2 linked regions of the Arabidopsis thaliana genome follow. The protein of the gene in region 2 interacts with the protein of the main gene of each other region in a pairwise test. Each region holds a gene or a part of one and is shown on either strand. Other genes may lie near its edges. The genes, in order: UBP16 and SHM4.

Region 1 (13,494 bases), 4.6 Mb from region 2:
TTATATCTATATAGTAGCTATATTTGTTTATTTTCCCAGTTTTGATTTTTTTTTATTAAATAAGACTCTGTGCTCTTTTGATTAGGATTTTGGTTACGTGCAAACTACATCTACCGAAGTTTTGAAATCTTATATATTCAATGAGCCGATTGTGGTTTCTCCTGCCCGCCTTCAGCCTATTGATCCTGCTGCCATTTTCACAGTAAGATTGCTTTTCATTTTCCTCCTCCTGGTATATGTGACTGACCCCTTTAATTTATGCTATGCAGCAAGGAGCCAAAAGAATGCCTGGAACTGCAGTTACAAAATCGGTTGTGGCTAATGATCCTGGGGGTCGGAGAAGAGAGGAAATTTTTGTGGACATCATCGAGAAAATCAGTGTTACTTTTAGTTCAAGCGTGAGTAGTTACTTGCTTCTAGTTTATTATATCAAAAGTACAGAAGTCTTGGCATGTTCTCTTCTTGCCATATCAAACCACCCATTTCTGCGGATCAATGCTTTGTATTATGTCCTAATACATGTAGTTGCATCTTAATGTTAGTTTTCTTCATGGAAAATATCCATTATTTTTCTGATTTCTGAACAGGGATATATACTGACTTCTGAGATTGATGGCACCATTCAAATGAAGAGCTATCTTTCTGGTAATCCAGAAATCCGTTTAGCTCTTAATGAAGACCTAAACATAGGAAGAGGAGGGAGATCAGTATATGGTATTTCTTGTTTCACCCCTTTAAATCATCTTTATTATATTTGGAAGGAATCAACGTCATATTCTATCTTGTCTCACTCTTTGAAATCTTGGTGTCTCTTTCTGTGACATTTGGCGTTGACAATGCTTAAATGTCAACTAAGCTGTATGTTCCACTTACAAACTTCCCTCATAAGTCATAACCCAATTCGTAAATATATGTAGTTACTCTTGTAGCATTTTTTCTGCATCTTTGAGGCACATCAGTATCAACTGGGGATTGATCTATTAATACAATCTAACCCTTGGTAACATCACACTTGAAATGTTGCAGATTATAGGAGTTCTTCAGGTTCAGGGGTGATACTTGATGATTGTAACTTTCATGAGTCTGTTCGTCTGGATAGCTTCGATTCAGATAGAACTTTGTCCCTGGTGAGCGTCAAAATATTTAGTACAGAAAACATCTTGTAATAGCATGTTGTATTAGTCTTTAACTTGCGTTCTGTTTTCAGGTTCCACCAGATGGTGAATTTCCAGTAATGAATTACCGTATGACTCAGGAGTTCAAGCCTCCTTTTCATGTTAATACCTTGATTGAAGAGGCTGGACGTCTTAAGGTGAAATTTCATGCGTACATGTCTTCTGAGTCAGATAAAAACTGCGTATATTTCTTAATTGCTCTATAAATATTTTTCTGTTTGCTGAAATTTAGGCTGAAGTGATTATTAAAATACGCGCTGAGTTCCCTTCAGACATAATTGCAAACACAATCACTGTTCAGATGCCATTGCCAAATTATACTTCCAGGTACATAACTTTTTGATTGGTTTGTACAAGTGCATCACTGAGATATTGTACATGAGGAAGAGAATACGATGAATTTATTTAAATTCCAGCTATAGTGATATACCGAATTCTGAATCACACAAGAAATAGAATCAACGATTATGTTTATTGTGACAGGGCTAGTTTTGAGTTAGAACCCGGTGCTGCTGGACAGAGGACAGATTTCAAGGAATCCAACAAAATGCTTGAATGGAATTTAAAAAAGGCAAGTGTTAAATCTCTCACGTGGTTTGCTAGTTTAGGTATATATTGAACTGTATGTTGCTTCCATGAGCTAACTGTGGCATTCCAGATTGTTGGCGGGGGTGAGCATACACTGCGTGCAAAGCTTACATTTTCACAGGAATTTCATGGTTACCCTCTAAGACAAAAGTTTGTAATGTTTGTTCTCTCAGGGGAAAATAAAGCATTACTGATAATTCTCAATTCGTTGTAGGTAATATCACAAAGGAAGCAGGGCCAGTCAGCATGACGTTCACGATACCTATGTACAATGTTTCTAAACTTCAGGTAAGTAATATGCCGATTCTTGCATTGCCATTAACCGTCCTCTTCGATCATTAACGCTAATGAATTGGGTGATGCAGGTCAAATACTTGCAGATAGCAAAGAAATCAAGTAGTTATAATCCATATCGTTGGGTGAGATATGTGACACAGGCGAATTCTTATGTGGCTAGGATATGACCTGTTTTCAGATAATGTTTATCCTTCACTTGTATGTCTAAGTACTTTCTCTTTTCATTTTCGGATCACACTTGCTTCACAGTACTGTGTTGAATGTTGTCTCTTCTATTTGGATACTTTCTTGTTTCGGTATCAACATATATGGCTATATGCTTTTATTTTGTTTGCCCCTGAAAACATCATATGATCTCTTTTCTTGGAACTGGCAAAATTGCATCTTTTGGGATTTTTCTTGAATTTCTGAACTGAACTGAATCCAAAGATTCAAAGTTAAGCAAATTGCAAAAGAAATAAAGGTGCAACGATGAGACAATATTAGATTAGCTTTATTGATTGATTATAATAAAAGTCAAAACAACTTATTAACAAAGGTAAATTCCGTTCCATTACGTGATACAATTTCATGGGCAAAAACTCTCTTCCCCACTATACACTACTATATACCACCACTTCTCTCATTAACCACTTTCACCAAGCCTAAATACGGGTTGTTAATAAAACCACTCAATCTACGTGTAATCAAATCTACTTTCTTCTACTACTTTTGACTTAGTTGGGGCCAAGTGGACAAAAAACCATCTTGTTTCCCTTACCTTTCTCCTCCCAAGGGCAACTGATGTCTTGAGGTTCCGTAAGTTTCTGGAGAAGAACGACTGAGCGGCGAACGCCTTGTGAAGGGGGGAGAAGATGAGGAAGACGATGATGTTGGTGAGGGAGTCTCAGACTGTCCGTGAGCCCGTCCCTGATGATCTCCAAAAATGAAATCAGCAAAGTCGTCCATGCTTGTACTGTCTGTGCTACAAGAGCATTCATCTGAGTTGCTGTCAAAGAGAGATGAACTGTCACTCGCCGAGTCTTCTTCTAAAATCTTCTGCAGCCTCTGGAAACTAGAATAAAATGACTGTATATTGCCGGATCGACCACCACCAGGCGTGTTGGAAGACAACTCAGGACTTGAAGTAGACACAGACCGGGATATGGTACTTTTCTCATTAGCCTTAGGTAGTGGCACTCTGCTTTTTTTATTGGATGCTTCAGTTTTGGTACATACTGCTAATCTTGGAGGCGTTGGAGTGCACCTGCAGTCAATTCATTCGATATATACCATCATAAGTAACCAGATCGAGCATAATCCACAACTTTAAAGAGTGTGAGAGATGCATTATAATATTATTTACCTTGCGTAGAACAACATATACGCTCCCTTTGTCAAGATCCTTTCCACATCCGAAGTTACTACCTGACAATAATCAATGCACAACAGAGGAATTAAACATTGAAATTTTCTTCAAATGTATGATGCAGATATATGGATGATGACGAGAAGAGACCAGTCAATGAGTAGAAGCCAAAACATTTTCTCTCACAAAACCAATCCTACGACTCTTCAGACTACAACAAAGATAGAAACCCCAATGGAACCAGCTAGAATATCCTTTCTAGAAAACAACTTCAGCATATAAAAGGAAGGGGAAAATTATATAATACTTATCCATTCAAAATTTCAAACTAAGAAACTCATCACTGAAAAGGAAGAAGCAGAAAATTGTAAACCTAAAATGCTGTCATAGAAGTAAGATACTCCTAGTTAATTCCAAAGTTCATCAAATAACAAACTCAAGTAAAAAGGGAACAAAAAATCGAGCTTACTTATAAACTAATTCGCAAACAACATTCCATTGATAATATATGAGAAACTTACCGTGCTATCATCAGCCTTGTACCACTTATTTTGGTTTCTAATATAGCAGACATAATGGCCAGAAAATGCTGCATTCATTACATCCAAGTGAACAATAACTCCATAGAGTTTGTAGTCATGTGATTTTTCACTTCCCCCACTGACATATGGAGCCAAATCTAGAGTTTCTGGAAACCTAATCAACTTATTGAGCTTCCCGAATTTCCCTGCCTTTAAGAATCAAGTGTCGCAAAATTGTGAGAAACAAGAGAATCCAGATAGAACTAAACAGAAACAAACCGGGTATTCATTGAAGATATAAGTTACCTGGAATCGTTTTAGTGCAATGGTAAGGACATTCGGAGGCTCTGTTATTTTCAGCTTCTTTTTGGCTCTCTCATAGGATTTACAGCTGCTCACAGGAAAATAAAAAAATTGAGTAAGCACCCATCAATCATTGAATGTAAAATCGTACTGCCAGGATTTACATAAGAGGTTACAGGTGATTAGTTAAAACTACGCAAATGAAAGACCATGATAGTACTTCAAAAACATTCTGTCTTCATAAGCTAGAAGGGAATTTTATTGCAGCTGGTCGTGGAATCTAGGTATTGTAATTGAAATATATGAAAGGGAATACTTTGGCAGGCCATGAACTCTACTTCAGCTGCCCATGAACTTTAAATCAATCGGTATCATACCCAACTCAGAACCATATATAAAGCTCATGTAAAACTCTATCCTCAGAACCATGAAAAGATAATTCGAAATATCAAAGGACCACACGAAGTTCAACACATGGAAAGGAATGCTGACCAACCTGCCACATCTGTATTTGTTCTCTCCATCCAATATCTCAGTCCTTGTAAATCGACGCAAAGCATCATCCAGGGTGCTAATATCTCCATCAATCTCAACCGTTAGATCCATCATTTTCTCACGCAGCTCAGATTTTACTTGACATTTCATGCATTTAATCTGGCAGAGATCATAAGTACCAGGATTACAACTCCCTCCAAAACAAAGTAAAATGAGTAAAGTACAAATGTTGTAGGTAATGATACCTTTGACCGGAGGTATCCCCCAAATGTCAAACCAATAAGAGTTGTATCTTCTAATTTGCTACTCTTGGTCATATCATATTCAGATGCCTTAATGCACACAGACTGCATTGTATCGACAACAAACCTGCAAATTGCAAGGAAAATGAAATTAACACAGATCTTCCAGTTATAATAAAGATATATGCAACAAAGTTTGCTCAATTTCAGAAATGTCAGTTCACCTAAGGAATTCATGTGCATCTTCTTCCTTGCCATTCCCAAGAAAGATTCCAATATTCTGCAGCTGAGATAGCAAGCCATTAGGGGACAGTGGAGACTTCTCTTCTTTTGCCTTTACGACCAGCTTCTCAAACCCACAGGTGAAGCACTGTTCTTTTTTTGTACCTATAGTTAAACGACTTATTAAAGGCTTGATATATTGATGATAATAAAAAATAACCTTCCAAAATAAGCAGCAAAAAGAAAAAAGACTTAGAACCAGTGACGCACATGCTCTGGAATGAAATTGCTGGAGGAAGTATGTCGTCAGAGGAGGAGTGAACATAAGGCATTGAAAGACAACATTAGCAAAGCAGCTGCAAGAAACAGAGTATATTCTTGCATCAGCGAGTGTAAGCTACACATTTACTTTACATTTTTTACACCACAAGCTGAAGATTATAACAGCTAAAAACGACTAGAAAAAGAGGAAATTGGAATTACCTATTGCCAACGTTGATGAGGCCACAAGGCTGGAACTCAATTTTATATGTATACAGTTTAGCAAAGACTTCATATGGAAAGAGCCCCTGCATGTCACCAAAAGATTGATAAGAAAAATAGCTTTGCTGATTTGTTAATGTAGGAACTAAGTATTGCATAATGATGATAACATCCTAGAACTCAGTGATTACCTTATGACCATGTCTTCCTGCCATCTCATTTTCAGACTTCGGTCTGGTCCACTGGTCTACAACTTTCAGTACTGATGCCTTTAAACCACTTCTTCCATGTAGAGAATTTATATGCTGAACGACAGCACCATTCTGTTTCTGATGATCAAGAACTCTTACCGATTTTGCACCTAAAGGAGAATGCTTCATAAGATCAGCACACTTCTTGGTATTCGAGGCCTTGGATGCCAAAAGTTGGACTTCCCCAACCTTCAAAGGGGCCAACATAGAGCCATTTTCACTACTAGCGCTCTTTGACTTCGGAAGGGTCACATGGGACAAATTAGAAGAGTCCAAAGGACTCAGCGCATCAGTAGAAGAGGAAATTGGTAATGCAATTTCAGCTTCATCAAATCTTTTAGCATTTCTTTCTCTTAAGTTTACTCCATCAGATATATAACCAGTCCCCCTAGGAGCTTCTTTTAAAATGCTACTCCTCTGCTCAGAAACTTTAGCAGCTGAGGTGTCTCTAGAGGAGCCAGAGCCAAAGGAGAAATGCAGAGAGGAGTTACCAGGTCTACCAGATTTAGATTTAACACAAGAATCACTCACACGTTCGGCTGATCCAAGAGCCGTACCCCAAAAATCAGATGACTTCAGAGATGGGTCAGCTGATACTGGATGCCTATCCGTAACTAATGAGTGTAAGCTCCTTGATTGGCTCTGGTTCTGCCCAGCATCATCCTCAGGTTTATGTACACTTAATTTAGGCAGATTAGCGAGATTATCTACAGATTCAACCAAGTGCACAAATTTTGGAGACAACAGTTTGGATGGAGCATCTTCAATGGTGCTGAAACAGGTGTCTTCTGGCTCTACAGAGACATGAGCATCAAGTAGGGACTCTGATCTCTCGGATTCAGATGAACTGAAGCTCTCACAACGAGAAATCTCGTCGCCAGAGTCATTACGGGGGGAGGAGGAGAAGCCAGAAAACGAGGATCCAGATGTTTCAGCAACAGAAACAGCTTCTTCCTTATCTATAAGGTCATCTTTGTTATCTGCAATATCTCCATTCCCATCTTCAGGAGATCTGGCACGATTAGATAATAGTGATTCCCCGATTGGTATAGTAACTGGTTCTGGACCCACCAGTAAAGTTTCCTCAGGAGTATTTTGTCCATTTTCTTCTCCTAATCTCAAATCGGAATCACTCTCATCTTCACTATCATATACAATGGAAGCAGGATGACATTCATCTTTGTGACCTTGCCGCCAGTGAATGATTTGACATTTCCCGGAACTGGAAAAAAAATAACAAAAACGAAACAACTATCACTAAGATATGTAGGTAACGAAATTTCACATGCGCTAAGGGGAAAAGGTTGAAAATTTGATAGACATTATAGTACATTTCTTAAGCTATCTAATTGAAATAAATTCCTCAGCAGCACATAGTTAGTTACTCACAGATAAGCCATGAATCAAATACTAAACTTCCTCCCAAGCTAACTAATTACCCATAATTTTGTTAACATAGAAAAAGAAGTCAATTTTCTTAAATCTCTGATCCAGTATCGCTAAAGTTACAGAACTAACTTATATTCTTTGCCTACTAATCACTCCAATTCATCACGTCTCAGCAGAGAGTGCAGCAGATGCAATCATAACTCTAAGATCATACAACGTAATTTGGACATGGAGAAAGTGAGAGAATTTTTGCATACCAATATCGAACGGCTTTGCAGCGAGAGCAACGAGTCGTGGCAAGACAATAGCAAACAGGACAATGGAAGACATTAGAGACGGCAACAGAAGAGAACTCAACAGAGGCCTCTAGCTCAGCCCTGGCAGCCTCTTCAGAAGCATGAATAAGAAGTCTTCTAATCTCCTCCCTTCTTTGGGCAGCGACCCTCCATTTGTGACGAACAAAGAGACCGATCAAAGGTAAAACAAGAGAGACCACAAGGACTAGACTAGAAATCCCTAGATCCAAAACAAGGAGCATTTATCCTCCACCAGATGCACAAACAATTGGAAATAAATCTGAGCACCAACCATAGATTTCACCGGCGAATAAGCCGGGAACAGAGGTGACAGTGAGGATCAGTCCGGCGATTTAGCACATGCAGAGAGAGCGAGAGAGAGAAGCCAGGAATCGATGGAAGTTATAATTTTTTCGCTGGTGGGTAAGCTTCCAAAATGATGACCCAAGAAAATCCAAAGATGAGAAGGAATAAAGAAAACCCTAGAGAGCACAAGTTGGGTTTTCTATTGTTCTCTGGGAAAAAGTTGAAAAAATCTGGTGCTTCTGGTTTAGGGTTTCGAAAGAGGGCAAGAGTGGAGAGATTCTTCGGTAGAAGGACGAAGAAATTAGGAGGCAGTATATTACTTTTCTATACCAAGACGCTTTGCTTTTTCATTTTACCAGACCAGACAACCTTTTTTTTTTTTTGCTCTAACGTCATTTGGAAATCATATTTTTATTACCAGGAAGCCCTTCTTTTAAAAACAAAATAAGAATAATAGTTCAACGGAAATATGAATTTGCATGTTGACAATGATAAAAAGTTATGAATTAGTCAATTAAAAAAGTGTGTAAGTTATGTATTAGTCAATTAAAAAAGTGTGTATGATGGGATATTGTAGCTATCTATTATATATGTATATTTAGTGCCATTTTCGTGTCACACCATGTCTTCATTTTTATTTTTCTTTACCATGTGTTATACTTTTTTGTTATAAAAAGTTGATATATATATATTATCGCTTAACTTTTTTTAAGTAACTATAAAATGGGTATCATATATAACAAACATATATAAGTATTTTGCAATTTATGCGATATATAAAAATAAAATAAAATAAATCTACACGATTCTATATGTTATATTATAAAGATCACGCCATATTATTCTATCTATAAGAATACAACGTACGGGATTATATATGATAGACGATTGTATTTGCGGGACATTGAGATGTTTCCGAAAATAGTCATCAAATATCAAACCAGAATTTGATGTGAAAACACTAATTAAAACATATAATTGACAACTAGACTATATCATTTGTTAAGTTGAGCGTTGAAAGAAAATGAAAGAGTGTAGACTGTAGTATGTATGAGTTTCCCAAAGGATGGTGCTTGAATATTATTGGGAAGAGACTTTGGTTGGTTCGGTTGAATGAAGATTTTTACCTGCCATGTTGATAGAGAAAGGCAAATAAATGTAGGGGTCGATGTCTAACGTAAAGACTGGATCAACCAAGAGTCCTCCTCCTCGTCTTCACCAAAAAAAAAGAGTCCTCCTCGTGGAAACTTATTTCTTCTCCAGCCAAGATCTCATCTCATCTCTTCACTCTATGAAATATAAAGGAATCTTATGGTTTTTCTAAAAACTATAGTACGTCTATATACCAAAGGAAACAATATAAAATCAGTTAATCTGATAAATTTTGAGTAAATAATAAAGTTAACTTTGTACTTACCTATATCAAACTAATTCACAAAATAAAGTAATAATAACAAAGAATTTTTAGTAGATCCACAATATACACACACACTATGAGAAATCATAATAGAGAATTTTAATGATTTTGTCTAACTCATAGCAACAAGTCGCTTTGGCCGAGTGGTTAAGGCGTGTGCCTGCTAAGTACATGGGCTCTGCCCGCGAGAGTTCGAATCTCTCAGGCGACGTTTCTTTTGTTTTCGGCCATAAAGGAAAAAGCCCAATTAACACGTCTCGCTTATAAGCCCATAAAGCAAACAATGGGCTGTCTCTGTCTCACTCACACACGCGTTTTCCTACTTTTTGACTATTTTTATAACCGGCGGGTCTGACTTAATTAGGGTTTTCTTTAATAATCAGACACTCTCTCACTCGTTTCGTCAACATTGAACACAGACAAAACCGCGTCACAAAACAAAACTCGCTACAAATAAATACCTTTGTTTCCCTCTTCTTCTCCTTCACTCACAACATCTCAATTTCATTCTCTCTTCTCTCTCCAATTTCACAACAATGGGAGTCAAAAGTTTCGTTGAAGGTGGGATTGCCTCTGTAATCGCCGGTTGCTCTACTCACCCTCTCGATCTAATCAAGGTTCGTCTTCAGCTTCACGGTGAAGCACCTTCCACCACCACCGTCACTCTCCTCCGTCCAGCTCTCGCTTTCCCCAATTCTTCTCCTGCAGCTTTCCTGGAAACGACTTCTTCAGTCCCCAAAGTAGGACCGATCTCACTCGGAATCAACATAGTCAAATCGGAAGGCGCCGCCGCGTTATTCTCAGGAGTCTCCGCTACACTTCTCCGTCAGACGTTATATTCCACCACCAGGATGGGTCTATACGAAGTGCTTAAGAACAAATGGACTGATCCTGAGTCAGGGAAGTTGAATCTGAGTAGGAAGATCGGTGCAGGGCTAGTCGCTGGTGGAATCGGAGCCGCCGTTGGAAATCCAGCTGACGTGGCGATGGTTAGGATGCAAGCTGACGGGAGGTTACCTTTAGCGCAACGTCGTAACTACGCCGGAGTAGGAGACGCAATCAGGAGCATGGTTAAGGGAGAAGGCGTAACGAGCTTGTGGCGAGGCTCGGCGTTGACGATTAACCGAGCGATGATTGTGACGGCGGCTCAGCTAGCGTCTTACGATCAGTTCAAGGAAGGGATATTGGAGAATGGTGTGATGAATGATGGGCTAGGGACTCACGTGGTAGCGAGTTTTGCGGCGGGGTTTGTTGCTTCGGTTGCGTCTAATCCGGTGGATGTGATAAAGACGAGAGTGATGAATATGAAGGTGGGAGCGTACGACGGCGCGTGGGATTGTGCGGTGAAGACGGTTAAAGCGGAAGGAGCCATGGCTCTTTATAAAGGCTTTGTTCCTACAGTTTGTAGGCAAGGTCCTTTCACTGTTGTTCTCTTCGTTACGTTGGAGCAAGTTAGGAAGCTGCTTCGAGATTTTTGATACCATTCTTTTATTGATGATGATGATGGCGACTATTTATATTGATTTATTCATTTTTGAAATAGTGAACACAAGAAGGAACTAGGAAGAGGGGGATTCAATATATTTTTTGTTCAAGCATTGTTGTTAAATACAATTCAATTTTAGTTTCTATACTGATGTGAAATGTCACTACCAAAACAACAGATCCAACGCACAGTTAAAACACAACAAAAAAAGAGAGTGTAGTTTATTTGGTCTTAAAAAAATGCTGAAGCAAGATAAGAATGAGACTAAAAAGAAGAAAGAATCTGTTATTTGGTTGTTGGGGGGTGACGAATAAGCATAACTGGAGGTGGTGTTGTTAAATGGCGGCTGTACATCTGAGGGAAGGGGTTGTTGATAAAGAGTATCATCTGGAGAAGGTCCTTGGTGTAGTGTTGGGATGGTTTCCTCCAGATGATCCTCTGCCTCTGTCTCCTCCGTTCTCGGATCTTCCTCTGTCAAGAATGTGAGGGCTCTGTAGTTTGCTGCTGTCTGGATCCTGGTTCGACCCTGATCCTTTTTCAGTTTCCTCTGATACACGGTTTTGTCCCGAGGTTGGACTGGGTTGCCCTAGGGTTTTTCCTTTGTCCATGTTTTGGAGCTCGTTCGCGATCTGACTACGTCTCTCCTTGAGGAAGTTGAGTCTCATTGTCAATTTGGAAAGTGCAGAAGTTGTTGTTGTGCTTCCCTGTTTATTTCACTCAGTTTCTAGCTTTGAACGATATTTGGATGAAATTTAATGGTTACACTATGAAACTTACCTCTCCCTTTGTGCCAGACCTCTTTGACAAGCCCACCAGTTTTGAGCTGCCACGTGATGTTTCTTGTTGCGAGCTTTTGCTCCGTGAATCCTGTTGCTTCTCTGTCTCATTTTCTCTTGCAGCCCCTTGCCCATCCTGCAATATGTTACCCGTCTGTAGAGGATAAATACAGAGGAAGAAAACACAAAATTGATAGACAAATGTTTACAGTGGTTACCTTGGACGTTGATCTTTCAGAAATGTGAGTAGAGGCTGCTTCAGTATCTTTTTGTTTCTCCTTCCTGAGTGACAAATTTGAAAGAAGACGAGTAATTAGCTTTGATATTATTTAAACCATAGGTTGTGAGGTTAAATGTGAATCTGTTGATGAATCCGTACATCTTCGCATTGTGCTCTGGCAATTTCCGAGATTCTTTGCTGGCACTATGCGTAGAACCAGAGGCTTTTCCGTCATGGTGACCAAGCCTATTTTCAAGATCATCAACCTTATGTTCCAACTTGGCAATATCAGCCTCCGCTTGAGCTACCTCTTGCAGATCTTTCTTCAACTGTAAAATGTCTCCCAAGTTAGATATATGTACTTTTAGCCTGACAAAAATCAACTAGTTGCTAGACAAAAATGAAGAGGAGCAACATTTTCATCGATTGTTTCTGGAATAGGTTGATTCCCTTTTGACATGTTCAGTCCTGTTTCCAGAGCTAATTTCCTGTCTCTCTCTTGCTGCAACTGTTCTTGTAGTCTTCCCACCTAGTCAAAGGTAAAGCACATTCATATAACTAAAATTTAAACACTCAATAAATAACAAACTTCACATTGCTAAGATAAGGTTTTATTTTACACTTACATCTTGCTCTAGTGCTTGGCGCCGCCCGTACAAAGCCTTCTTCCGTCGCTCCAAACTAGCCTGTAGAACTGCATTGCTTTTTACCTGTTGTACCAAACATGGAGGTTGTTAGAGATCACATACTCGTCAAAATCACCACCTGTATAGCACACCGAGTTCGCAAAAGCAAAAATACTCAAAAGGACTTATCGTGACCTCTTCTGTAATTCTGCTTTGCAGCTCTAATTTGGTTGACTCAAGTCTCTCAATGTCAGCACTGCAGAATATTAACATTGTCAGAAGAAGAACCATGTAGACCACATTAATTCTAGTCCAAACAAATTTGAAGTTTTGAAAGAAACATAAAGATGTAAATCATTTGTAGAGATGATGATACTTACTTGTCCTCGTCCACTTCCACTGAGAAATCAATAGATTCCATTGACAAGTTTTTCTTCCCCTGAGCACATAAAACACCAAACGTTTACTAAATGTCTGGATCCCTTAAGAGATAGGTAATAAAGGCAGAGGAAAAAGAAACTTACAGGGGTACGGCCCCAGTGCCTTTTACTTCCTCCCGGTGCATCGGATAACTTAGACGGTTTCTGAGTGTCAGATGCCACATCTGACGTTGATGAATTCTTATCCTCACTTGTCGAGACCTCTACAACAGCCTTTACCTCTGTATTATTAACTCCCTTAACCACGATATCCTCATCCTTTTTGCCGTCATCATGTCGGGGTAGTGAAGATCGTCTGGAGCCAGATAAAAGCTTCTTAGGCTCCTTACTTCTTTTTGGGGATTTTGATTCAGTGCTTAAATTATCATTTATCTGCAGAAAATAATTACGTGAGAAAAAGGAATGTCTATATTCGACTATAATCAAAATACTCGTTCTCGTAATCATAAGATTTTATTTTCAAGAAATTGATCAAGTATTGAAGGTTAGTATAGGACCGTGCCTTATGATCATCAGGATCAATGCTGTCTGCATATTTATCTTCTGAGGCGGCACTCTCACTGTAGGATCCATTAGATTCATTTTCAAGGTCCTCTTCCTCATCCGTGTAGTC
Region 2 (10,335 bases):
GCAGTTAGGGTTTCGATGAGTACGGCGGTTTGGATGGTCATGTGAAGAGATCCGGTGATTCTAGCGCCTTTGAATGGCTGAGAAGGTCCGAATTCGGTACGACAAGCCATGAGTCCAGGCATCTCAACTTCGGCGAGCTCGAGTTCGAGACGACCGAAATCGGCTTGAGACATGTCTTTGACCTTGTATTCACGGCCACTTGAGGTCTTCTCGACGAGCAACGCCATGGTTGAGCTAGATCTGAGATTTGAATCCGAAAGGAGGCAGAGAGAGAGAGAGAGAGAAGTGTGTGCGAGGAGAAGAGAAAGGGAGTGACAGAGAATATATAGATGAGGTCAAAATGAAATGAACGGTTCAGATTGTTTTGAGGGTTTGGTGGATCTGGTAGAAGTTGTAATCCCGTGGATGACGGAACACGCTGCACGAGCGGTATGACCCGTGTTGTAAGCTTGTCGTGGGTTAGATCGGACGGTGATGTGGGAGGGTGGACACGTGGCTGTGTTTTATTTGTTTCAGTGAATCGTAGATCGTAGTTATTGACTTATATTGAGAACCCTAACGGGCCGTCACAGTAGCCCAAGTGAAGAATCAGTTGATATCTTTTCGATGACTATTATCAACTGTTGTTTATTTACGGTATATTTCTGTTGAATCTTGGTTTAACAATTCAAACTACATATTTAAAATTTGTAACATTTTTTCCCAAGAAAAACAATCTAGATCAGTTTATAGTCCCGCTTGTATCGCGCTAATGGTATCACTCACTCAACGGTCATATGGATTATGCATTGTTCTCGTATCATTTTCACTCTAAAGTCACTTAAGTTGCATTATCATTCTGCCATGAATTCCCTCGTCTGAAGTCATTTAATTTATGAGATCTCGTTCGTCTGATTGGACCACGAGAAACGTCCCATGTTCTCCGCTTATTGTAACGACATATTTCTAAATTAATGCCTTAGATCTACCACGACATGTGAATGTGACTTTTCTGTTTGTTTTTTTTTTTTGGTTAACTTTGGCTAAATCCTTTTACATATTTCAGAACATTTTGTTTATAAGATCCGTCAATTTTCATATTAAAATAGACAATTCAACCCGCTATATACGGAAAATTGAAATCTAGAACTTTTTATTTATTTTTGTATATATATAGGTTCTTTTTTTAATCAAAGAAACAAATATACAACTTATTCAAACCTAAATTATCAGATTTAACACCTAAATCCCAGTATGAATCCGTATTAAAGTTGGGTTGAAAATAAAAACAATAACTTGTTTTTGAAGAAAGAGTATCAATAGGTGCAAATGCAATAGCCACCAAGCATTTACACTAGTGGCATTGTGTGTGTGTGTGTGCTGTTTGGATCTGGACCTGCGCGTGTAGGAACGTCGGTGGATCTGACTGATCTTAAAAGATCAAAACAGAATTAAACAATGTGGTATTAATTATATTAATTATACTTTAGTATATATATATTTATTGTAATTATATTATGTTGTGTGATTTACCAAAAGAATCGTAATATTTCAAAGCAGCCGACAGTGAGAATCATAGCAATTATGTGGCGATGTGCGTTTCTTTTTTCTTGTTTTGGTGGTACTATGCAGATCTAACATGTTACTATCTTTATATGTTTATGAATTTTAAATGTACTTTTCGAATTTTAAATAGATCTTGTTCTCGATAGAAACTATATACATTGTACTACTTTTGCTATTAAACGAGTAACAATCGTATATTTCAATAAATTTATAATAGTCTATCTCCACCCATAATGTTTCACATCCGGGTGATACATAGCACTGACCATTTATTATCCCAAGACTTTGAGCACTCAAAAGACTATTTGATAAATTTATTCGAGAGTTATGAAACTGGTAGTGGTAGGTTTGGAAAATAAATTACACGAAATAAAAGCTGGAGGGTACTGGATTAAGACATTCGATTCTATTCAATCGACCAGAAAAGGACAACACTCGAGTTGTGTCAATTTCAGTGTAGCTTTTGGCTACAAAGGACATAAATATTTCTGAGTTAAGTAGACCAGTAATCTTATAGCTTATAAGACAGTGACAAAAGTTTATGGTAAGAAGATTGAGTAGTATCTTTGGGCTCTCCAAATAATGGTGAGTTTGTTACAATTTACGATGAATAATCTTGGTGACTGGTGGCTTATGCTATTCTTACAAATGGCCAGCACCAAGTCAAAATATATATCTTCTCGAGGAATTCTACGAGGCGACTCAACCCGATATATCCATATGTTTTTAGTATATGCACCGAAGTTTTGATCCAAATGCCTTAAAAGGCCGAGTTTCGAAAAATGATTTTGGAACTCCGAATATCATAAAACTGTCAATGATAGCTTATTCTTTTGTTGGGCAACGAAGGAGGAAACTAATGCACTAATGAACATTATTATTACAACTTATAAGTGAGATTCGGAGTCAAAATGTCAAATTTGGAAAAATGTTGAAGAGGAAGAGGATTTAAAGACCATTTTCAGCAGTTCTATTAATGTAATCTACAAAAAATTTATATATTATTTACAAAAAAATGTAATTTTATCGAAATTGTTTCTATTGGAAATCGATCGAAAATAATAAAATATGATATAAAAATATATTACTTCTTTCAGTATATGAGAAGTATTTATTAAAATTTTTAAATGTGATAACATACCGGTAAAACTATTTTTCAAAACAGAAAAAGACAACACAATTATTTGAAAAACGTGAAAATTTGGTATTTCATTTCTTTTTGTAAGCAAACCATGACGTATAAAAGAAAGAATTCATTCTAGGTTTTAATATATTTTAGGAATAATCTCACCGGTCATCATACAAGTTTAGCAGAAGAATAATCTCACCGGTTTCATTATGTAGTATGTCACCATGTCGACACCACAATAGGAGTATATATATGATATGACTCCAAAAGAATTGTTATTTAATTAAGAAAGTATTATAAGACAATACTTTTCGTTGTATTTGCGGAGGTAGGTGGGTTTCCAATTATACAGGTCTAAAAATCGAGGTTGGTGAAGCTTACTTTACAACAAAAGTCCTCCTCTATTATTCTACCACATGGAAAAAATTCACCAAAACGTGATTTACACATACTCTCACTTTATTCTAATATTTAATATTTTTGTATTCATATTTTACGTAGATCGTTTAATTTTCTACATGTCGAATAAATAAATAAACACTATTAAATTGACTTTAACGTTCAAACTTAAAAGTTTACTTTTACCAGCCTTTTTTCTTTACTGAGTAAATATTACCTGAAAAAGACATTTTTCTAACTTCAGTATTCTGTGTGTTTACGAAGAAAATGAAGATCTTCGTCACATCACATGTTGACCTCAGATCTGCCAATACCACTAGGCACTACGTTACTATTTAATGACCACATAATCAAATCTTAAATTGAAAAGACGATTTTGACCCTCACCGACTCACATGCATACAAAACCACCTACTCTCCTCTCCAAACCCCATGATCATGCCATTCTCTAGCAAATATTAAATACTTAATATTCTTTGATCAACCGAGGGCACGATGCAATAATAATAAATAAATTTGTTAACCATAACAACTCCTCAATCGTGTAGTTAGTTAATTAGTATGTCCACGAAAAAAGGTTTCAAAGGGAGGCTACCAACTATTTCTTGTTTATAAAAATGTGTGTTTAATGGCTCTTTTCATATGCTAAATTATAAAATTTGTGACAGAGAATATCTAAGACTTTAGTGGAATAACAAACTTATTTTTTCTCATTAGAAACTGAGAGTATCGAAAAATAACAATTTGTACACATTTCATTTGGCATTTTCAACATAAGCAAAATGGGCGAAAGAGTTGGATATGTTCTCTAACTATAATGTGATGTTAATTTGGATATGGTATCGATTAAGTGATCTAGTCAGGATGCTAAGCAAAGACCACCAATTTCTTATAATGTTGGGATAATGAATAGTGAGGCAAAGTGATGCTGTAGTTACACATATGATGAGTTGTCACTGAAATTATAACATAAACATAAACAAGGATATAGTCTTATAGAGGGTACGGTTACACATATGATGAGTTGTCATTGAAAATTATAACGTAAACATAAACAAGGATATAGTCATATAGAGGGTACGGTGACTTCGTGATTCTTAGTGATGATTGATGAATATGAACTAAGATTCATCCGCAAGTAACTTTAAAATCAGATTACTATGAAAATACAATTTTAATTTTGCGTTATCCGTTTTCAAGTGTTTCGTTTAAGACCGTATAAAGTTTTATTTAGCTTGGAGATATGTGAGAGACTATTTTTATCCGCAAAATTCATATGTTTAAATTCATCGTGAATACTTCCTTTGTGAAAAAGCTTTAAAAAATACATTATTAACATTTAAGGGGTTAATCACATAATATTGAAGCGGATAAATTGTTGAAATCTTCACAACATAGATGAAAATTTTGTGGTCGACAATGTTGACGTTGGTTTAATTACCTTTGCATTGTTAACACATAATACATCTTATTTACACCAGATGTACGACCATTTGAGTTTTGAAAGGTTAAACTATGAAAAACTATAGAGTTTCTTATTAAAATGTAATTACTCCTATCTAAAACACTGGGCTGAATCAAGATCATGGGCCCTCAAAGCCCTTTTTCCAATTTTAATTCCTCCGATTTATAGGGATTTATACAGTTTTTTTTTTTTTTTTGGAATCAATAGATTATATTTTTGTTTGTAATTACTTTTTATTTTCTACCAACAAATTCAATTTCTGATGTCAAAAAAATAAAAATAATCCGAGAGAGAGATTTACCCAACACAACCTTAAATGCAATTGGGCCTTAAGTATCCATCTAATCATAATTAATTAAGGGAAACAAATATTGGTAAGAGGGTAAAATAGTCAAAACACACTAAGCTTGTTCTCCTACCACACACACCTAACCAACTAACACCAAAATTAGCAAAGGAGGACAAATCCGTAATTTACCCCATTTTCTACTCCTCTTTTAAACCCAACCGCCTCTCTTCCCACTTCTCACTCTCTGATCTCAGATCTCTCCCTCCCTCTTTCTCCGATCTCAGATCCATTCAACAATCTACAAAGAAGATGGAACCAGTCTCTTCATGGGGTAACACCTCTCTCGTCTCCGTAGATCCAGAGATCCACGACCTAATCGAGAAGGAGAAACGTCGGCAATGTCGAGGAATCGAACTTATCGCTTCCGAGAATTTCACTTCCTTCGCCGTCATCGAAGCTCTCGGAAGTGCCTTAACCAACAAATACTCCGAAGGTATTCCTGGTAATCGTTATTACGGAGGTAACGAATTCATCGATGAGATCGAGAATCTTTGCCGTTCAAGAGCTCTCGAAGCTTTCCATTGTGATCCAGCAGCGTGGGGCGTTAATGTTCAGCCGTATTCTGGATCTCCGGCAAATTTCGCTGCTTACACGGCTTTGCTTCAGCCTCACGATCGTATCATGGGGCTTGATTTGCCTTCAGGTGGTCATTTGACTCATGGTTACTATACATCTGGTGGTAAGAAGATCTCTGCGACTTCGATCTACTTTGAGAGTCTTCCGTATAAGGTGAATTTCACCACTGGTTACATTGATTACGATAAGCTTGAAGAGAAGGCGTTGGATTTCAGGCCTAAGTTGCTTATCTGTGGTGGTAGTGCGTATCCTAGGGATTGGGATTACGCTAGATTTAGAGCTATTGCTGATAAGGTTGGAGCTCTTTTGCTTTGTGACATGGCTCACATCAGTGGTCTCGTTGCTGCTCAGGTATATTATAAGCCTATTCTCATTTGTATTGATATTGTGTTTCATGTAGATCTGGTTTTGTTTTAGCATTATGAATTGTTTAGAACGAAGATCTGCATTCATTGTGTCAAGTCTAGTGTTTTCAGGGTTATCAAATGTTCTTCTTCCCAAGAACGAATCATATCACATTGTTAAAGTCGTTTGATTTTACTTGTGCCGTCTCATTTTAGTCTCCTAGTTTATAGTTTAACTCCTATAAGAATGTTTAAGTGAACACAGGATGAGATTCAATTCTTTTCAGTAACTAAAACCAACCTATTAGCCTGATGAAGTTTGGGGATTACTCTAATGTTACTTGCCAAGATTGAGTTTTTTTTTTTTTTTTTTGCATTCACCGACAGAACTGATTGAGTTTTAATCATATTTACAGGAAGCTGCAAACCCATTTGAGTACTGTGACGTTGTGACAACCACAACCCACAAGAGTTTGAGGGGTCCAAGGGCTGGTATGATTTTCTACAGGAAGGGTCCAAAACCACCAAAGAAGGGTCAACCCGAGGGTGCAGTCTATGATTTTGAGGACAAAATCAACTTTGCTGTATTCCCTGCGCTTCAAGGTGGTCCTCACAATCACCAGATTGGTGCTCTAGCTGTTGCGTTGAAGCAGGCTAATACTCCTGGGTTCAAGGTCTACGCAAAACAAGTGAAAGCCAATGCTGTTGCCCTTGGAAACTACCTAATGAGCAAGGGTTACCAGATTGTGACCAATGGAACTGAGAACCACCTTGTTCTCTGGGATCTTCGCCCTCTTGGATTGACCGGTGAGTGAATTATATCTCAGAGAAAAAAACCCACTTTTGCGACCCTATGGTTTCTGGAACTAGTCCTGATGTTTATATATTCTTCTGTCAGGAAACAAGGTTGAGAAGCTCTGCGATCTGTGCAGCATTACATTGAACAAGAACGCAGTATTTGGAGACAGTAGTGCTCTTGCTCCTGGAGGTGTAAGAATCGGTAAGAGGGAAATTCTGAAATGTTCTTGACAATGGCCATTGAATCTCATTTGTGGGATCTTGCTAACATATAAATATATATGTGTTTGTGTAGGTGCACCCGCGATGACATCGAGAGGATTGGTGGAGAAGGACTTTGAGCAGATAGGAGAATTCCTGAGCCGTGCAGTGACACTGACGTTGGACATCCAAAAGACATACGGTAAGTTGTTGAAGGACTTCAACAAGGGTTTGGTGAACAACAAAGATCTCGATCAGCTCAAGGCTGATGTCGAGAAGTTCTCGGCGTCTTATGAGATGCCTGGATTCCTCATGTCTGAGATGAAGTACAAGGATTAGAGATCTTTCTCTATATGCAAGAGTAATCTTCTATTATTATCTACCATATATATAAAATATGCTTTTGTAGGATCGCCTTAAAGGCGAAGAGATGAAGATGCAAACAGTAAAAAAAAAGGGTTTTCTTTTCAGCTATTTCTTCTTGAATGTTTTTTTTCTTTTTCTTTTGGTTTCTTATTGAAATTGTTGTATTTTTGTTGGCTTTTTTCTAATAATATCAGCGAGTTTTTCTTTCCACTGTTTCAATTAAATACGGTGTGTTTGTATGGGTTTTAGTTTCATAGATTGAATTATTTGTACTCAACTAAGGAATTCTTGTAAATGCAAAAAAAAAAGAAAGTTTTACGAAAAGTAAAGAAAGAAATATCGTAAGTTGGGACGACGACGACGAAGATTTATACAGAGGAAGAGCTTCTCGCTATCGACGCCAGCGAAGCTTCCTATCTCTCCCATTCTTCTTGTTACGCTACTCCGACCGTACGTGATACGAGCTCCGGCCATGAACACGAACATCCAATTGAAATCCCCAATTTCCCTCGCCAGATGCATCATTACATCACTTCTTCTGCAGCTTATAACCGATTGTCGAGGTAAAGATGGAAAAGTGGATTCATCAGTCTCCCTAGAGATCTTTAGCTATTATTTTCGAATTTCTTATCGCTTAGAAATTTCTGGGTTCTTGGTGATCTCAATTCATTTGTTTTATCAACTTTTTCCCCATCTGATTCGATTTCCAAAGTTGTTATTTTCTCAATTGTTCATACCCCAATCCATTTATTAAGGTTTTTGTCACTACAATGATGATGTTAACGTTCTCCACTTGTGTGCAAATATGATTCTGTAGCTAAGCAATCTATCCGTTGGTTATTGACTTGTTTGTTGCAGCTAAATCTAGCTAGTGAGGTTGATAAGTGAGAAATGCAGCTTCTTAAGGTTCTTGATACCAATAGAGATGATATTGAGTGAAGACCAAGTTTTTTAAAAAGGTATTATGTTTAACATCAATGTCTTACTTTGAAAGCACCTCTCAGTTCATGCTATTAGGGTCTTATCTCGGTCTGTTTGCAAGTTTCATCTATTTCGATTGCGGTCTTTAAGTATGCAATGTGCAATCAAATTCATCTGATGGTGTGATTTTTTTTCATCTCTATGGATATGTTGTCTTTAGATACGGAAGAGCTTAATATGCTTGTTGTCTCCTTTGTAAATGGTCGGAAGAAAGTTTAGATGTCTCACTTGTCCAGTTTTGTATAGTCTCGAATCTCATTGCTGCAGCTTTTCATATGCATTATCCTTTAGAGAAGTTCCAGTGTGATCTAAATGATAATTCGTGAAAATTTGGGATGTTCAGGTGTTCTCCCGGGGAAAGTTGCAGTTGTTCAGCGACACAATAGATAAAAGTAACTCAACAGAAAGACAGATTCTCAAGATGAGAGACCCAAACAATACTATAAAAGAGAAGACACTTATTATTGATCATTTTTTCAGCGGAGAAGAAAAGCAGGAAAAGATTCTCATGAACCAGTCACGTTTATATGAAGTGAGAATGTGGCCGATGGCAAGTCCACAAAACAAACCAGGTACATAGCCTATTGCAGCTGCTACCCAGCTTAATCCTTTATCTTTCTCTTCCTTTTCTTTATCTTCTTCTTCTTCTCCACCGCATTTTTTTTGGAGAGGAGCACCGCAAAGCCCGGGATTCTCTGCGAAAGAAGAACTGTTCTGGCTTTGAATCTGAGTGCCTTGTGGTATTGGACCTTCAAGCATGTTGTAAGAGAAGTTCATCCGCGCTAGAAATGTGAGTTCCCCGAGCTCTCCTGGGATACTGCCGGATAATCTGTTTTGAGATAGATCCAATGATTGGAGATTGCTCAAGTTTGATAGAGATGGTGGAATATGGCCTGTGAATGCGTTGTTTGACATGTTGAGCACAATCAGTTCCTTGAGTATACCGATGGATTCTGGAATATCTCCTTCAAGTCTGTTTCCGGAGACATCGATGGTCTTGTAGATTTCGAAACCACTCCCTACCAGTTCCATATTCAATCCTTTGATCGTCAGAACCACAGATTTATGAAAGGATTCTTGGTCATCTCCTACAACCGTAAATCCAGGCGTATTATCAATAATGTCTACAAACGATGACATTACACTCCAACCAACAAAGTAATCTGATGGCAAGACTCCACTGAAGCGATTTTCTGAAATGTCAAAAAATCGTAGTTTGGAGAAACTTAAAGAATCTCCAGGAGAAAATATTGGCCCATGGAACTCGTTAGAACGAAGGACAAGCAGCTGTAGATTGGGCAATGATTTCAACCAGGATGGAAATGTGTCATTGATTCGGTTCTCTTCCACGTTCAGAAACTGGAGATAACTGCAGTTGATCAGTGACTTGGGAAATTGTCCTGATAACCGGTTGCTACCAACATCTAGTGATCTCAAGTAACCATGCAGAGATTCCTCTGGAATAACACCAGAGAGACTGTTATTTCGAAGATGCAAGATCGAAAGAGTTTTATTGGAAATCTCAAAACACGGGGGAATAGAACCGCTGAAGTTGTTGTTGGACAAAACAAGTGTCCCAATTTCGCATACTGCTCTAGGAATCTCTCCTGAAAACTTATTATCAGAGGCTATAAAGCTATAGATAGGATTTGGTAACATAGTTAGTTCTCCACTGAAGGCATTCTGAGCAATGTTTACATACCTCAACGTTGGTAGTCTCCATAACCATTCTGGTACTTGGCCTTCAATTTGATTGGCAGAGATGTCTAAATGATACAAACTGGTTTGGTTTTCCAGAAACTTAGGAAACTGAGAAATATTGCAGGATGATAAAATCAAGTGCATCATATGTGAGGGAAGATGGTGCGATGAACTGATATTCAAATTAATCCCTGAAAGATCAAGTGACCTAAGAGACTTGAGCTGCAAGAAGATGCTGAAATCAACAATGCCTCCTGTGTCCCAGAAAGAGAGGCTAAGAGCCGAAAGCCCGACTAGTTTCAATATAGATCTTGGAATTGGCCCATTGATATTGTTTTCTCCAATGTATAATTCTTGAAGGTTAGATGGTGAAGAGATATTCCCAATCTTAAGTGGACCGCTGAAGTCGTTTGTTCCCAGGTCAAGTTTAATCAACGAAGGGAGCATGAAGAGAGAAGAGGGGATGGTTCCAGAAAATGAA

The links.
Region 1: the proteins of SHM4 (region 2) and UBP16 interact in binary tests that used the Arabidopsis thaliana proteins (3 or more experiments, as listed by UniProt).

What each region holds. Positions count from the first base shown.
Region 1 is NC_003075.7:12,676,677-12,690,170, forward strand, and holds UBP16 (ubiquitin-specific protease 16), read right to left. Parts: upstream 8,301-13,494; 5' UTR 7,853-8,300; coding exon 7,572-7,852; intron 7,148-7,571; coding exon 5,866-7,147; intron 5,761-5,865; coding exon 5,675-5,760; intron 5,548-5,674; coding exon 5,462-5,547; intron 5,357-5,461; coding exon 5,194-5,356; intron 5,097-5,193; coding exon 4,973-5,096; intron 4,887-4,972; coding exon 4,729-4,886; intron 4,321-4,728; coding exon 4,236-4,320; intron 4,140-4,235; coding exon 3,930-4,139; intron 3,468-3,929; coding exon 3,406-3,467; intron 3,307-3,405; coding exon 2,817-3,306; 3' UTR 2,524-2,816; downstream 1-2,523. Other genes in the region: AT4G24550 (Clathrin adaptor complexes medium subunit family protein), read left to right, coding at 86-202, 270-398, 588-714, 1,027-1,127, 1,208-1,312, 1,408-1,502, 1,659-1,746, 1,834-1,894 and 2 more; DIC2 (dicarboxylate carrier 2), read left to right, coding at 9,870-10,811; REN1 (Rho GTPase activation protein (RhoGAP) with PH domain-containing protein), read right to left, coding at 11,203-11,523, 11,597-11,731, 11,814-11,877, 11,975-12,144, 12,231-12,344, 12,442-12,525, 12,637-12,697, 12,822-12,880 and 2 more. UniProt on the Arabidopsis thaliana protein: Recognizes and hydrolyzes the peptide bond at the C-terminal Gly of ubiquitin. Involved in the processing of poly-ubiquitin precursors as well as that of ubiquitinated proteins.
Region 2 is NC_003075.7:8,044,823-8,055,157, reverse strand, and holds SHM4 (serine hydroxymethyltransferase 4), read left to right. Parts: upstream 1-5,000; 5' UTR 5,001-5,136; coding exon 5,137-5,814; intron 5,815-6,223; coding exon 6,224-6,614; intron 6,615-6,705; coding exon 6,706-6,807; intron 6,808-6,900; coding exon 6,901-7,145; 3' UTR 7,146-7,466; downstream 7,467-10,335. Other genes in the region: HOG1 (S-adenosyl-L-homocysteine hydrolase), read right to left, coding at 1-227; RLP50 (receptor like protein 50), read right to left, coding at 8,622-10,335. UniProt on the Arabidopsis thaliana protein: Catalyzes the interconversion of serine and glycine with the conversion of tetrahydrofolate (THF) into 5,10-methylene-THF.